Styela clava: one gene and its partner. The protein of the gene in region 1 interacts with the protein of each later gene in a pairwise test. Links are inferred from orthologs where the notes say so. Each region holds a gene or a part of one and is shown on either strand. Other genes may lie near its edges. The genes, in order: COP9 signalosome complex subunit 5-like and histone deacetylase 11-like.

Evidence for each region.
Region 2: the proteins of COP9 signalosome complex subunit 5-like (region 1) and histone deacetylase 11-like interact in a two-hybrid assay, tested with the Caenorhabditis elegans proteins (2 studies listed by BioGRID). The link is inferred for Styela clava from reciprocal best matches to the Caenorhabditis elegans genes csn-5 and hda-11.

Annotation. Positions count from the first base shown.
Region 1 is NC_135257.1:21,457,233-21,465,065, reverse strand, and holds the start of COP9 signalosome complex subunit 5-like, read left to right. Parts: upstream 1-4,492; 5' UTR 4,493-4,607; coding exon 4,608-4,645; intron 4,646-6,404; coding exon 6,405-6,489; intron 6,490-7,250; coding exon 7,251-7,418; intron 7,419-7,833. Other genes in the region: transmembrane protein 65-like, read left to right, coding at 785-890, 1,731-1,817. UniProt on the Caenorhabditis elegans protein: Probable protease subunit of the COP9 signalosome complex (CSN), a complex involved in various cellular and developmental processes.
Region 2 is NC_135252.1:6,045,386-6,053,541, reverse strand, and holds histone deacetylase 11-like, read left to right. Parts: upstream 1-4,871; 5' UTR 4,872-5,333; coding exon 5,334-6,425; 3' UTR 6,426-7,556; downstream 7,557-8,156.

The DNA of each region.
Region 1 (7,833 bases):
GTTGTGATTGTCCAAAACTCTGCTAAGAGATGGGTCCTCTGTATTTCTGTGTGTGAGTGTATGTAGCGAAAAATTTTTAAAAACATGGTTCCATATTATTGTGACCAATATCACAAGACAAACTAATAAATCTCAATATCTTATCAAGTATTATTGACAATATAATATTGAACATATACTCTCTAAAACCTCTGCACAGAATTCTTCTGGTTCCAAGATTTGTATTAACATATATTGGATCAAACCAAGCTTGTTTTCCTGTGAAAATTCGCTCAAATTATTTTCACAAGTCTTGACAAAAATGGTGAGTAACACCATATGCAATGTGATATGCATTCAGTAGCATATCTAGGGCAGTCATGGCTTGTGCCACAGGTTTTTAGTTACCCCCGTAGTGTGTGAACTAGGTTAGGGTCAGGCAATAATTGTATAACGATTTTCCTTGTTTTAGTTCTATTACGAGTTGAGGGAATATCTGTGTTAGCCAAATGAATATACCCCCTGCTCATAGGTTTCAGTCCCTTTACACAACTTGACATAAAGTAGGCGAACTAAATTAATTACCTCCATATTGGTGCATACACTTCTGAAGCGCAGATTTTTATGCTCCATTGGTTACTTGCAACCCTCCCTCTATCAGTAATTTTTCAAATATTGCTGGAACGGTCGACCTCTTGCACTGAGCCAACCTGTATGAATAATGTGGCCTCTGCACAGGTTTATTATTGTGCGAGAAATATTAGTTAATACAGGGATAAACACGAAGCTTTTCTCTTTACTCTAGATTGGCTGGATATGTTGAAAGCCTCTTCTATAAACTTGGGTTGCCAGTACCTGCCTTAACACCGGAACAAGCAGAGCAGAATTCAACTATTTTTTCATCTAATGCGGTAAGTTTCTGTTTTTTTAGAATTAGTGTGAGTGGGTTCCGGATTTAAACATTTCACCCACCTGGGGCTGGGCATTTTTGAATACCTGAGGATTTCAGAATCACATAAATTTTTCAAAATGGAAAATGGAAATATTCGACTGTATGTGACTTTTTATTGTGATGGGCACATAATTTACTGAAAACTTTCATAGTTTCAGACAGTTTTAGAAACATGTTTCATTAATAACTCACTAAAGATAAAGGAGTCGGTAAAAGAGTAAAAATATGGCTTCAATAAAAAAAATTGAGGAATTCACCTCGACCTGTGTTGGTTTAAAAACAAGATGACGGCAATTTGAAATTCTTGCCTGGAGCAGTTGTTTTTAGAGCATTTTATAAATTTAATGATAGCAACTTCATCAAGATCAAATCTAAGGTTCTCTTCGCTACTATAACTATCAGTAGAAGTTACACAAGACTAACTTCCGACTAACCGACTCTTCCTCAACGCCCCTGCCCTAGTGGATCCCTATGCGTATATTGCAAGGATGCTGTAGCAGGAATAAACATGGCCATGCTATGCAATTCAAGAGTCCAGCTGCACATAAACACAAACGTATTTCTGTAACGTTTCGTTTGACCAAAATCAGACTTCTTCAGACAAGCAGTTTACACAGACGAAACCTTACAGAAATACATTCATGTTTGTGTGCAACAGGAATCTTGAATTGCTTGGTCTCTTCACTGGTATTGTTATTTATTTTAGTGACTGGGAAAAGTAAACCTGACTTCGACTTTACTATTTGGCCCTTTGGAATTGTTTTACTACATTATTACATAATAAGTTCTTCAATTTCAGGGCAAAGCATTTGGAATTTTGATCGGTTGTATAGTTGGAATGTTCCCACTGTTATTCATCGCTAAAGAAGAAAAGGAAGATGGATGACATCTTGAATAATTTTTCGAGTTTTATCAAAGCATTTGGCTTGAAATACAGTTACTTTTGAGCTGCTTGACTCGCGCCATTATTATTTTATTTGTTTCAGTAGCTCAGACCATTTCAGTCTGTAGAACTGTATGGTGATACAGACAAGCAATAAAAAGGCCTAATAATATTTAACATTATATCTGTATTGCATTCTATTGACTGGGATAAGTTTATGCTTTCTCATGCTTTAAATTTTTAACTTTTCGAGCTGCTTCTCCATTGCACCTGAGAAAGTATATTTAAATCTTTTTTTCTGTAATTGCCATATTTCTTCATTTAGAAATATTTTTGTTGTTTCCTTATTTTAACCAACATTTTTTTTTTTAAATCTTGTGTTAGTTTTTCAGTCATATAGTGTTCCTTTAGTTTTAAATGTATTCAGCTTTATTGCGATTTTCAGATATTTACATATTTATCCCGACTTATACATATTTAACCGACCAGCGGGTATGTGAACCACCCTACGGCGACGAGGAGTCTAGCAATCCTTTTGCACATAACCATCATCGCTTGGGATTCGAACATGCGGACCCACGCAGAGAAATCAGATCAAATGCTTAGCACAAGGAGCCACACTGCCGAGCCTGATTATACCGCTGGACGATAAATCGAAAAAAATATGCCTGAGATTCTAAATCAGTGTTTCACAAACTTTTTTTTATAAATTCCTCTCAAATTTTGGATCGATATATTCTCCCTCACAATGCTGAGGAACTCCATTTTCGTTCTATTCTAGAAATCTGTATTTGTAACTTTACTTTGAATCATATGTTGCTGCTGTTTTTAGTTGGTATTTTCTGTTGAATTTTGTTCATTTTATATATTTGAATAGTTAACAATATATATACATGTTGAATTTTTATAAGCTAGTGCTGTATTTTGTGAAAGTATGTACAAAGGTATGTACACAGTGTTATGAATAGCAAAGAAGGCGGCCTCGTTTGGGGCCTTGGGGGTGTTTTACGCATGTGCTCCAAACAAAGCTTGTAGACAGGCAGGTAATGAGCAAATAGACTAGGTTCTTTTCATGTAGTTTGGGTAACAATCCAACCTAATTTAAAGTCATTTTACCTTGGTGTTTCAGAATAGCAATATAACAAGAACGATTATGTAGGCGAGCACATTCTAAAAATTGAGCCAAAACATGTTGCTGCAGGGACGAGCACGGAAATATAGTACAGCAATATGAAAACTGATGGTTCGCATATACGATCTTCCTCACTAAATGTGTGTTTGTTTTTCTCAAAATGTAACGGCTTCATATAAATTTTACAAGAGAGATATGCTCAAATATACAGACACGTAGCGCCACATAATTTTGATGACGTCATGGCAAAAAATAAAAGTAATAGCCTTTTGGGGAAAATTCCATTTTCAACCACTGAAAATTTCAGAGCAATTGGTCCAGTAATCAAATAGAAAAGCGATTTCTCCGAAACGATACAAAGAACAACAATAACAAAACGATCGTTATGTCCATTTCGTGTCCAATAATTACAGAGACGAATGCAATGTAAATAAAAACCGCATGGTACGCTGTCACATGCAAACTTGAAGAAACGTAATTTTTCTCTCCGTTCTAGTTGCACGGCAAGTATATGGATAGGTCAGATATGTGACTTGATACGATTACGTACCAATGAAATTCGATCCGTGGCAGATTAGCCCAAGAGAAAGAGATATATTGCGACAAAAACGAAGTCAACACTATTATTATAAACAAAATACAATGTAGAAAATATTTCAGCAGTAATAACAGTGATTGATTCAAACCATCAAGTCCATGCTTCCGAAAACAAACAAGAGAGCTATGCTCAAATATATGGACACGTAGCGCCACCCAATGGCAATAACTTTGATGACGTCATAGCGAAAAAGTAATAGCCTTCTGGAGAAAAATTTTATCTTCAACAACTGAAAATTTCAAAGCAGTTGGTCCAGTATTCGAAGAGAAAAGCGACTTTTTGAAAACGTGTCAAAGAACAAGAACAACAACAACAACATAATATTGAAACGATCGTTATGTCCACTACGTGTCCAATAACTGGCCAACTAATCCCTTACCCGACCTGGAATGGTAACCGGACGAGAGGCCGTGGTTCGCCATATGATTAAGCCGTCTTATCGGCTTTCCTCTCCCCTGGGATAAATATGTAAATCCTATCATATTGTTTTGCGTGGGCCCAATTAAAGTGATCTGGGCTCCCGACCATTGTGATTTGTGTATGTATGCCCATATGCCTTGGACGAATTACCAGTTGAACCGTTTGAAGACGAGTTTGTCAAACGATTGGGCTTTTTTTTTGCCAAATTATGTTTCATTGCCAATGTGGAATTTTTCTATTGGGCTCTCTGGCCGGCGCTATCCTCTTTGGAGGTAAATTATTATAAAAATTAAATGTAAGGATGCGGGGTCAGTAATTTTAATATGACCTATGATCTTTGAACTCTTTGGCCTGTGAAATACATGTCACATAATCAGATGATACCATGTAAATATTAATCATATTTCATGTACACAAAGAATAAATTTCATTTTTGAAATAAAAATCATCTTACAACTTAAATACTTCATTATTGAAAACGTGGAAAAAAAGATTATTGATATTGTTATTCTTTATCAAACCTCGCACAACCAGCCCTTCTTTATTGTATCTGGCAACAGCAAAACCTCTGCATTTGGTAATCTTGTACTGGATCGACGAAGTCGTGTTTGCAAACGTAATTTGTATAAGTAATTCGACCACAATGTCGGACGAAAAACCTGGAACGTCATCAGAAGGGGGGTACGATTGCTTCTATTATCTTATTTATAAATGGATCTTCATTTTACATGCTTACTTGTGGAAATAACTGTAAAAGATGACTAATATTAGGTCTCTTTTGCGATGTGTTTTACCCGTTTTTCGTCCCATGTTGCATTTCGTCTTTGATTTTGCGTTCCAGATTGCTAAAATTTTCCATGATACGTATTGTGCTAAGCTTTGACTTGCAAGGAGAGATATTTTGACTTCAAAAATAGCAGAATAAGTCTTTGGTCATTAAGTTGTCATTACTCTGACGTACTACGGTTCAATGGTCCTTAGTTAGGAAGCAACTGAGCGAATATCATCCTTGACAGTGTCGAATTGTTTTTTGTCAACTTCCTGACATCCTTGTCTCAAGATTAAGCCCATGTACTGATATAGGGTGTGTTATAAAAGTCTGGTATTTAATTAGGTAAAAGGACTTTGATGTGCTTCATACAACTAATAATGGTGGACATATAAGGGTTTATAAATGAAGTGAAAGGAGCTTAAGTAAACACCGATTAAAATAAAACAATTCTGGTTGAGATATATTAACAACTGACTCATACGATCATAAGAATTGTTATAATAGTACTTCACCATCACCATGTTTGTACAGTAGGGGACAGTTTTCGGGTCTCCTGAAGTACACACCGCAAGTACTTCTAGCTGGCATGGCTCAACAATTTTTGCATATGTCATTCTTAACCCCCACCTGACTAGGTCATCCGAAAATTACATTGCAGTGACGTAATACGGCTCGACAAAGTATACGAATGGTCGCGCAGACAATCATCCGAAATCGAGTTTGGCTATTTCTCTCGTTTTCTTATCAAAACGATACCAATAAGAGAGAGATCGCTGACGTTAGTGACTGTTAGTTCATTATAGTCGGCACAGATGCCATTTCGGACGATTGTAGCTACTTTAGCAAGCTCTATGACGTGATTGTGACGGCGCAGTGATGTAATTTTTGGGTGCCATACTCAGGTTGGGGTTAGGAATATTATACTAATAAAATCGTTATGCTACGCCCACTAGATGTACTTGAGGGCGCGTACTTTAGGAGACTCCAGTTTTCCGAATCCAAGATGTCCCGACATTAAGTTCAATAAAACAAACTCAATTGCCCTTGAAACGAGGGCGTCTGGCATGACGGCAGATGCGTCAGATCGTGTCATGCTTGTCTCAATAGTAATCTAAATCAATCATGATATGTGTGGTGTGTCGGCCGTCACATAGCCAAAATTCCCGTTTTCTGCTGGGAACTCTTGTATGCTGCGATAAAATTTGTTTCCTCTTGTAAATTGGATAATTTTATTTTCAAGGAATCCAATGATGTCGTTTTCAGATTGCGCTCTCTTTTTGTTGCACAGTGCTAATTTTTGCCAGTATGGAGGCCCTGACTGTCTCATAAATCAGGTGTTTGCAATCACTGTTATGATTTATGTTTTTTAAGTAGGGGCTATTCTTGGAATCAGTGAACTGTGCTAAATCAATATATATTTACACCAAGTTCATTCATTCAAAACTAATAATCTGGTTTACTATTCCCTTATCTGGCATAGACTGGTAGCATGTCAAGGGCCCATGTTCTGCCATATCATTAAAGCGTTCTTTCCGTCTTTCCTCCCCTGGAGATGAATTTGAAAACTTCATCTTTTAACATGTTAGTGGTGACTTGCAACTGTTCTATCGCTATTCTCCTGACTTTTAGCTCTGAACAAATTCGTTGATAAATAAATTCTTGTCCTAGAGCTGCATCTACAAAGACAGACCAGCCTTTAAATTCGGGTTCTGCGATGGCTTTGAAGACTTGGGAAATGCAAAACAATATGGAAGTGAGCGCTTTTTTTTAATTACTATTAGAATAGGATAGGGGTAGAAAAAGTATAACACGACTTAACTATATGGCGAACCACGGTACTTCACTAATGGCAAATTTGTTATGAGTTATTTTAAAAATATTTTGTTGAATTGGTTAGTGCAAACTGGTTTATTTCTTCAAAATCATTGTTTTGCCACCAACTTTTTAACAGCTGTGCTGAAAGTACTGTAAGCTAAATTTAAATGCTTGTTCTATATATTCTATCCCTGCAAAAACAAGCCAATGTTATTAATCAGTATTCAGTGACAAGATATCTAAGAGATTGTCTAAATTTCAGTTTTGATGTTGCTGTTGACATCTTGCGAATGAAGCAATGTTTTTTTTGATATATTTGAATACCTCCACTCTGGACGGGGTTCTGCACAAACAGTCGGTTATGTGTGAAAAACTACCATCATTTGGAACGACCGAAACCGTTCTCTGGCAGCTTTGTGTACCAATTTATTAACCCCCTGGGTGAGGTGATGGGCCGAGATTAAAGTTTAAAGATTTGGATTCCTGAATATGGACATTTACAATTTTCATATTTTTCTGTATTGAAATATTGCCTTCGCTCTATACAAACAGCCAGAGATATGTGAAGAGCTACCATTATTTGGAAGAGCCGAAATCTTTGTTTCAGCTTGAATCAAGATTTTAATCTGCGAAGCTGTTCTAACACTTTAACTATGCCACCAGAGCTGGCGACACTAACTAATTCAAAAACATTTTTAGATTGTTCACTCAGTCGACGAAATCTACAAATACGAGCTGAAACAGCAACAAGAAATGTTAAATGCAAAACCATGGACAAAGGATCCGCATTATTTTAAAACCAGTAAAATATCTGCACTGGCTTTACTGAAGATGGTCATGCATGCCAGGTCAGGCAAGAATTTGGAGGTAAGTCTACATTTGCTGTTCTTGTGGCTTCAATGACCAAGATGACAGGTTGAATTCAGATTTGGACACAGATTCTGGAGCAATGTTAAGTTAGACTATAAGTCATATGTGTATTCGACACGTTTAAATTCAAATATACGGTACTTAAGTTCATTGTATTACTGACAGGGAATTAATCTCAATTCATGCAAAATTATTACTTGGACAACAAACCATAGAGATACCAATAGGTATTGTAAAACACAAAAGTTATATCCCTTCTAAAGGACACTTCCATCCAAAGGCAAAGCCAAGAATTTTCACAGGGGGGGGGGGGGGGGTTATGAAAATTCATCATTGTCAAATTAAACCAGCTAGCGGGAAACGTGGGGTTCCAAGAGTCTTTTTTTTAAAAATGGGGGGTTTCGACCCTCAA
Region 2 (8,156 bases), on another chromosome or scaffold:
TTCGAGAAATCGCCCTTTCAAAAACGATTATTTTTCGGAATTCAGAAAAGAACCCATTATAGAGAGCGTAAAATGTTTTTTTTTATATTTTAAACTTTCCCAATTAATTCTTAGTTTAATAAACGTACAGTATTCATTTGTGACAAAGAGAAAAATATATTTGATCAATTTTCCCGCAGCTCCAGTTGAAATACAAATCCCTATTAAATTTGTTACGTCGACAATGTTTATAAAACTGAGAATACACGCTATTTTGGTATTATATGTAGCCGAGTCAAAACATGCTGCCACTGTTTTGTTATAGTGAAATCAAATATATAGGGTATATACTTTTTTCCGAATGTGTCGTAGTGCTGCCTTTATTGGCGGTTTTCGAGAAATTCCCCTTCCAAAATCGATAATTTTTCGAAATTTTGAAAAGAATCCACGAAGAGGGCGTAAAATATTTTTTTGGTATTTTATACTTTTCTTCTGCAAATCATTCTAAGTTTAATAGACGTACAGTATTAATGTGTGACAAAGAGAAAAATATATATTTTATCAATTGTTCAGCAAATTTAGTTGATATACAATTCCTTTTTAAATTTGTTTCGTCCACATTGTTCATAACATTGAAGAGTATACGCTATGTTTGGTATTATATATGGCAAAGTCAAAACGTTCTGCTACCGTTCTGACATAATAAAATTGAATCTATAAGGTATGTGCTTTTCTCTGAATGTGTCGTGATGCTGCCTTTATTGGCGGTTTTTGAGAAATCACTAATCCAAAAACGATAATTTTCGAAATTCTCAACCTAATTCAAGGGGGTGCGCAAAATTTTTTTTATTATTACTTTATACTTTCTGAAACTTATTCTAACTTTAATAGACGTACAGTATTGATGTGCGACAAAGAGAAAAAGATATTTGATCAATTATCCTGCAACTTTAGTTGAAATACAAACCCTTTTTTAATATGTTACGTACCTTTGTTTTAAAAATCGAGGAATATACGCTATTTTTGGTATTATATATGGCCAAGTCAAAACGTGCTGCTACTGTTCTGGCATAATAAAATCGAATCTATAATGTATGTGCTTTTATCCGAATATGTCGTAGTGCTGCCTTTATTGGCGGTTTTCGAAAAATCGCCATTTTAAAAACGATAATTTTTTGTAATCCAGGACAGAATCCACCTGGAGTCGCAAATGATTTTTTGCTGTTTTATACTTCCCGCAACGTATTCCAAGTTTAAAAGATGTACAGTATTAATGTGTGACAAAAAGAAAATGATATTTTATCCATTATCTAGCAAATATAGTTGAAATACAAAATCAATTTTAAATTTGTTACGTCCATGCCGTTTTTAAAATTTAGATTACACGATATGTTTGGTAATATATATGGTCAAGCCAAAACGTACTGCTACTGTTCTGTTATAGAAAAATTGAATTAATATGGTATCTGCTTTTCTCCAAATGTGTCGTGGTGCTGCCTTTATTGGCGGTTTTCGAGGAATCGAGGTTCCGAAAAGGATAATTTTCCGAAACTTTGTATTTGCGGAATACCTGAAAATTCATTTTTCGCTTAGTTAGTCTTTTTTTGAACACTATTTTCTTGTTAAATTTAATGTATTCATTCAGTTTAAAAAATTTTCATCTATTTTCGTGACAATATTATATTTTGATCAGCATTTTCAATTTTCATATTTACCTATAAGTGAACACTATATGCGCGTGGAACCTATATTCAATGTGTAAAAATATTCTGGCTGAAAGTGCTGCTAGCTTCACAGTGGTAACGTAGATTGAGGGCAATAAACTATCGCGCTCTACTCTGAACAATCTTGAAATCTGCGGATTCCGACTCCGTGCACTTATTTTCGTCCAAGAAGCTGGACATTAGCCTGTACAACAGGCTGTTGAAGCGGGTGATCATTTTAAAAAGTGACATGAATGGGAGATAACGTCAACATCACCAATAATATATATGTTGGTATTTTACAAATTGGAAAATCCCTCCACGCAACAAATAATTTCAACATCCGTATTTTAAATAATTTTTTAAAACATTCTGGACCAGATTCAAATCTAAATATATCGGTCTACATTTAGTCGGTACCGAGAGAGAGAGAGAGAATTTATTATTTCGTCAACCAGAAAACACATAATATTAAATATAATAATAACATAATAAGTGAAACAAAAGTCTTCGGTATGACTGGGAGGTAACGATACGACCAGTTACGGTCATCTGAGTCAGTTACCACCCAATACAACACATGAATAAATACATAAATTGATACAGGTTCTTTTTTTTTAACTCTCAGTTTATAGAGAACTATTTACAAAACGAGGATAAATTTTGGATTCATCTAATCAGGGTTGGGAATTTATTGTGAAAAATGACACATTTATGATCAAATTTCCCCTCCATTTTATCAGATGAAATTATCAAGTAGTCTAAGTTAGTTTTAAGTATATACAAGAACCTGTGAAATGTATATCTCTAATCTAAGCATCGTTGTGAACCTTGCTTCGTTTTCATTGTTGTGCGTGAGTCAGTTTTCAAGTGCATTCTCAAAAACTAGTTTTAAATCAAATAACTTGATAGCCATTACTAAGGCACCAATATAGATTTTTCGATAGTACTTTTCTGCGGTGCCCCCTCTCCCTTGGAGCCCTAAGCACGTGCTTATATTTCCAAAAGGTTAATCCAGCCCTGCGTACCTAATCGCCCCAATTGCCATTCCCTGCTACTATAATTAATAGCCTCTGTCCGTGGCACTTAAGTGCCATAGTTAGGGATGGGCAATTCAGAATATCGAATCTGGAGGATTCGGATCCAATTAGGGGATCAGATAACTGAATTTGGTTTCCGCTTCTTTAAAAGCATTCGTCAATTTTTGTATTTCCGGTTTTATAATTTATTAATCAGAGATGAGCTTTTCGTCTTGCGTCAAAATTTCTCTCGTTTGATTAAAAGCGGTAGACGTCAAACACGGAAATCTTAGCGCTTCAGATCAAGAAGACTCCCATGAATGAACAAACGCCTCACGGCGAAGACTTGTTGTTGCACCATTTTCTCTTTCTCCAGCTTTACGACCTAGTTAGTGATTGATTTCAACAATCTAGCCCAATTTTGTATACCAATTTTTATTCATGTCATATGACCCACAAAATTTAATTTCTCACAGACGTACCATGCTCCGTTTTAGATTAAATGATTTTTCGCGGCCTACGAGTTCTACCGAGAACAATGATCTAAAGCAGGATTGTGCAACCTTCTTCGTAGACGGGCCAAATATCAATAACGGGGTAAAACCGCGGGCCGCACTTTCATTACAATAGGCTTTCTATTAGCTGTAGGCACATAATAGTGTCTATATGTTATTGATTCTAAATCGTCATTATTGGGGGTCCTTGCAGGAATGATGAGTTAAACTGTAGTTCAAATATATCGTTACATCCATTTTATACGAATTCGGTAAGAAATTTGCTGCTAGATTCTTTATCCAAATTTGCTTAAATGAAAGTGATACGAATTTGATATGGAGCCCGTTTTTGAACAAAAAGATGTAATCGAAAAGTGCCCTATTTGAAGCCATGACCTTTTTCAAATGTGGGAAGTTATCTTGGTTGAAATGTTTTCGGTAAAGTACGCCAAGATTCATTTCCGAATAATTTGCTGTCAAATTTTATTCTTGATTAGATTTGGACAAAATCAACTGATAGACTGGAACCAAACTCAATTTAGTTTTTGCATCTCTTGATATTAAAAATTTAAACTGCTTTCCAGTTTCCTGATCTTCGATTGCTCGTTCATACAAGTTCATTAGCGTCTGCTCCGCATTTCCTTTCAAGTTTTTCGCAGTTCAGCAAGTGGCAGCTTTGTGAATCGCGTTGCTGTTGAGACGTTGTAACGTCATAGGCACAGATAGCAAATTGGACTCGGATATTATCTTTGAAGCCCAACCAGATCAAAATAAAGTAAAAACTAATTTAGCCGCACACCATTGAAAATTCTCTACGGGCCGCACAATATTCCCTTGCGGGCCGCACCCCTGATCTGAAGTTTAGATCAGAGATTAGATTAGATTCTAAACCAAAAGCCAGACGTTAAATGTTATAACATTATTTGCGATTAATTTATATCAAATATTATTTACAATGATTTAATACATTTACGACAAGCCTCTTCCGAAAATACAAAGTTTCATCACAAACAAAATATTGGTCACATTTATTTTGCACTCCCAAATAATTACATCCTTCTCGGGAATCTGCGATTCGTTATCGGATGTTATTACATGTTAAGTACGAAATCACGATTACGGTAACTTTATTTTACGGGTCTTAATCTCACAGAATAAACACGCTGACCCATGCTTGATTATAATTGATAGTGGTTAAATCGTAAATATATACTACTACGATTAAATTCAATAGTTTGCACCCGTAATTGACGCGAAGACTAGGAAGGAAGGATAGGATTTACATATTTATCCCGGGGTAGAGGAAAGCCGATAAGACGGCTTATCCATATGGCGAACCACGGCCTCTCGTCCGGTTACCATTCCAAGTCGGGTATGGGATTAGTTTTTACTGTATTGTTTGTTTTCGGAAGCATGGACTTGGTGGTGGAGGAAGCCGTAACCGACCAGCGGTTACGTGAACCACCCAACGACGGCGAGGAGTCCAGCAATCCTCTCGCACATAACCATCCCTGCATGGGATTCTAACATGCGAACCCACGCAGAGTAATTAGAGGTGCGCTGGCGAGCGTATTCCTAACGCTTAGCCCGTTGAGCCACACCGCCGCGCGGTACCCGCTACGGCGCATAAGTTGCAGTTGTCTCGGACTGGCCGTGCATATACTGTGGTGAAGGTGCCGTGGTGGACAAAACATCACCACACATATATATCAAAACTCCCAATACAGTGCCTAATAATGCAGCAAAACTTTGTCTTCTCAATAACCGAGCGGTAATGCTGCCAGGAAAATTTTTAAGCAATTTAGGTCAAAAAAAAAATGTGATAACTTGTGACTAATTATAAAATTTTGTTTTTACATAAAAAAAAAATATTGCAGAAATTATCGAATTTCATTGGCCTGAGCCAATGATCGGAACATTTTCAATTACACGCGAAGACTGATACATTTACAATTTTTTTTTACATTTTATTCCACAGGAACATAATATCAAAACTATCTATATATACGTCCATTTCGTGATTCAGTATTCTGGATTTGATTTGAGTATTCTAAAATACCGTAATAAATTATTCAACATTTCCCACCCCTAGTCACAGTGCAGTAGTTGTTTTAATGCTTATAGCTGCATAGGATTATATGACTGTACGAAATATGGGGCAAGGACCTTTAAAACCCAGCAGGAATCAACATAAACCCAACAGTAGAAGCTTTGATAAGTCGAATGAAAGAATTCCAAGATTGTATCTAAATATTTCGGATCAAGCCTGGCCATTAGTCTACAGTTCTGGCTACAATGTAAGTTTTGGAGGCATGGAAAAGTTGCATCCATTTGATGCTGGCAAATGGGGAAGAGTTCATCAGATGCTGATAGATAAGAAAATGTTATTGCCTGGGGAATTTGTTGAGCCTTTAGAAGCGTCAGAAGAGGAATTGCAAAAAGTACACAGCCAGAAATACTTGAATAGTTTAAAATGGAGTGCGAATGTAGCAATGATCACGGAAGTTCCACCAGTTGCAATGCTGCCTAATTACTTTGTTCAACGCTCAGTTCTGCGACCATTTAGATTGCAAACGGGTGGCTCAATCTTGGCAGGGAAGTTGGCAATGGAGAGAGGATGGGCCATTAACATTGGTGGTGGATTTCATCACTGCTCTGCTGAGCGTGGAGGAGGATTTTGTGCTTATGCTGACATAACCTTAAACATTCGTTATTTGTGGGAAAACTTTCCAGACATAAACAAAGTCCTGATTGTCGACCTTGATGCTCACCAGGGAAATGGATATGCTCATGATTTCATGGGTGAAGAAAGAGTTTTCATTTTCGATGTGTATAATCGTTTAATATATCCGAATGATCAGCGTGCTAAATTAGCCATTTCTCGTCCGGTGGAATTGGTGCATGGAACGAGTGATTCAAAGTATCTGGAACTTGTGAGAAAAAACCTTTCTGAAGTCATTGAACTGTTCAATCCTGAATATATTGTGTACAATGCTGGAACAGACATTCTCAGCGGCGATCCACTTGGTTGTCTTGATATATCACCTAATGGCATTGTTGAAAGAGATCAAATAGTTTTTGAAGTGGCCCACAGAAACAAAATTCCAATTGTTATGTTCACGTCTGGTGGATACCAAAGATCAACTGCAGCAATAATAGCAGATTCAATTTTCAATCTCAATAGTCATGGATTTATAACTGGACCTAAAAATATTTTGCATTCTGAATAATGAATGTGATATCAGTTGCAGGAAGCTTTCTATACAGTGATTCTCATACTTCCTTTTGCAATCATTAACTCCATCCATGATCATAATATACATTTATAGTTGATACCTGAAATATCTCGAATGACCTCATATGAAAAAGCCTACTGTGTTTATTGACATATATTATTCATAAATTATATTATTCTTTTGTTTGTCACTTACATCATCTCAACTTTAATCCATAACTCAACTAACAAATGTCTTATGGAGCCCAAATTGCCTCATTGGATGTAGTGTTCAATTGAAAATGACAAAATTAATCTGATTTGAACTAAGTGGTCAGACTAATTTGACTCATATTTTACAATCATAATTCTTCTTGTGGTAAATCTTTAACAAACGAACTCGGTATCAAAATCGAAACCTTATTGGCGATTTTGCATTTTTCTCTGTTTGTTTCATGAAATTTAGATTAAATGCAATACCTACAGACTACAGTATTTATTCATTTCTCTAGTAAATGCTCTTTCCAAAAATTTTGGTTTTGTTGATTTTACATATTTTTGAGTTTATGGATTTGATTGATTGATTTGATTGATGAATTTGATTTGTGCTTATCGCATCTTTGAAAAATAGTTTTCAATATTAATTTTCATCACATGAATATACACATGACAATGATATGGTCATTTTCATATGCTTATCGAGGACAGCCATATGTTATATGCCTAAAAACATAGTTTATGATTAGAAATGTGCAGTCAGATTTGGATATTTGTATCAATTTCACTGTCAATGTGAAAGCATTTATCATTTGTCAATAGTATGCATAAATCTGCAATAAAAAAAAATAATAAGTGATAAGTTGTATTTGAGTTTATGTTGATGTAAATGCTAGTTTTATATTTCTTTTAGTTTTCAAAATTTCAATTGTTTCGCCAAAACCTTACTCTCCATTATTTTTCAAGCACTTGTTATTTTAAGTGCTTGTGGAATGGAATTGAAGTGTTCAACGTTGATACCCATTTTCCCTCTTACAATTTTATTTTTCATTTATTATATACTGTATAAAATGATTATTACAAAGTTTTACACATTTATGCACTAAATTTTTATCACTGTCACTTCATTTTATATTATTAATAATCATAGTATATCAGTATGGGCCAAGGTGCAAGTACTGAACTCAGGGAGGATGGCAGTTCTGACCTGCACAAAAATGATTTGTGGCCTATGGTTCATTGTCCGGAATATAATCTACGCTTCATGGGATTAGAAAAAATGGGCAAATTTGATTTATTGAAAGGAAATAATATTCGTCAGATACTTATTGCACAAAAAATTTTGACAGTTAATTCATTCTCCACTCCTGTTGAAATTACGGAAGCAGAGTTGAAAGAAGTTCATACCCAGGAATATATGGAGAGCTTGAAAAGATCCAAGACCATTGCAAAAATAACAGGAATATCTGGATTAGCAATTTTTCCATACTCTGTTATTGAAAAGTCAATAATGCGACCACTTCGAGTTCAAGCTAGTGGTTCAATTTTAGCTGGAAAGCTTGCTATGGAACATGGATGGGCAATAAATCTTGGTGGTGGGCAACATCATTGCAGTGCAGGAAAATCAGAACCTTCTGGTTTTTCACCTTATGCTGATGTGACTTTAAACATTAAATATTTGTGCAAGAATTTTCCAAGCGTGAATAGAGTACTGATTATTGACTTGGATGTGCATCAAGGGAATGGATAT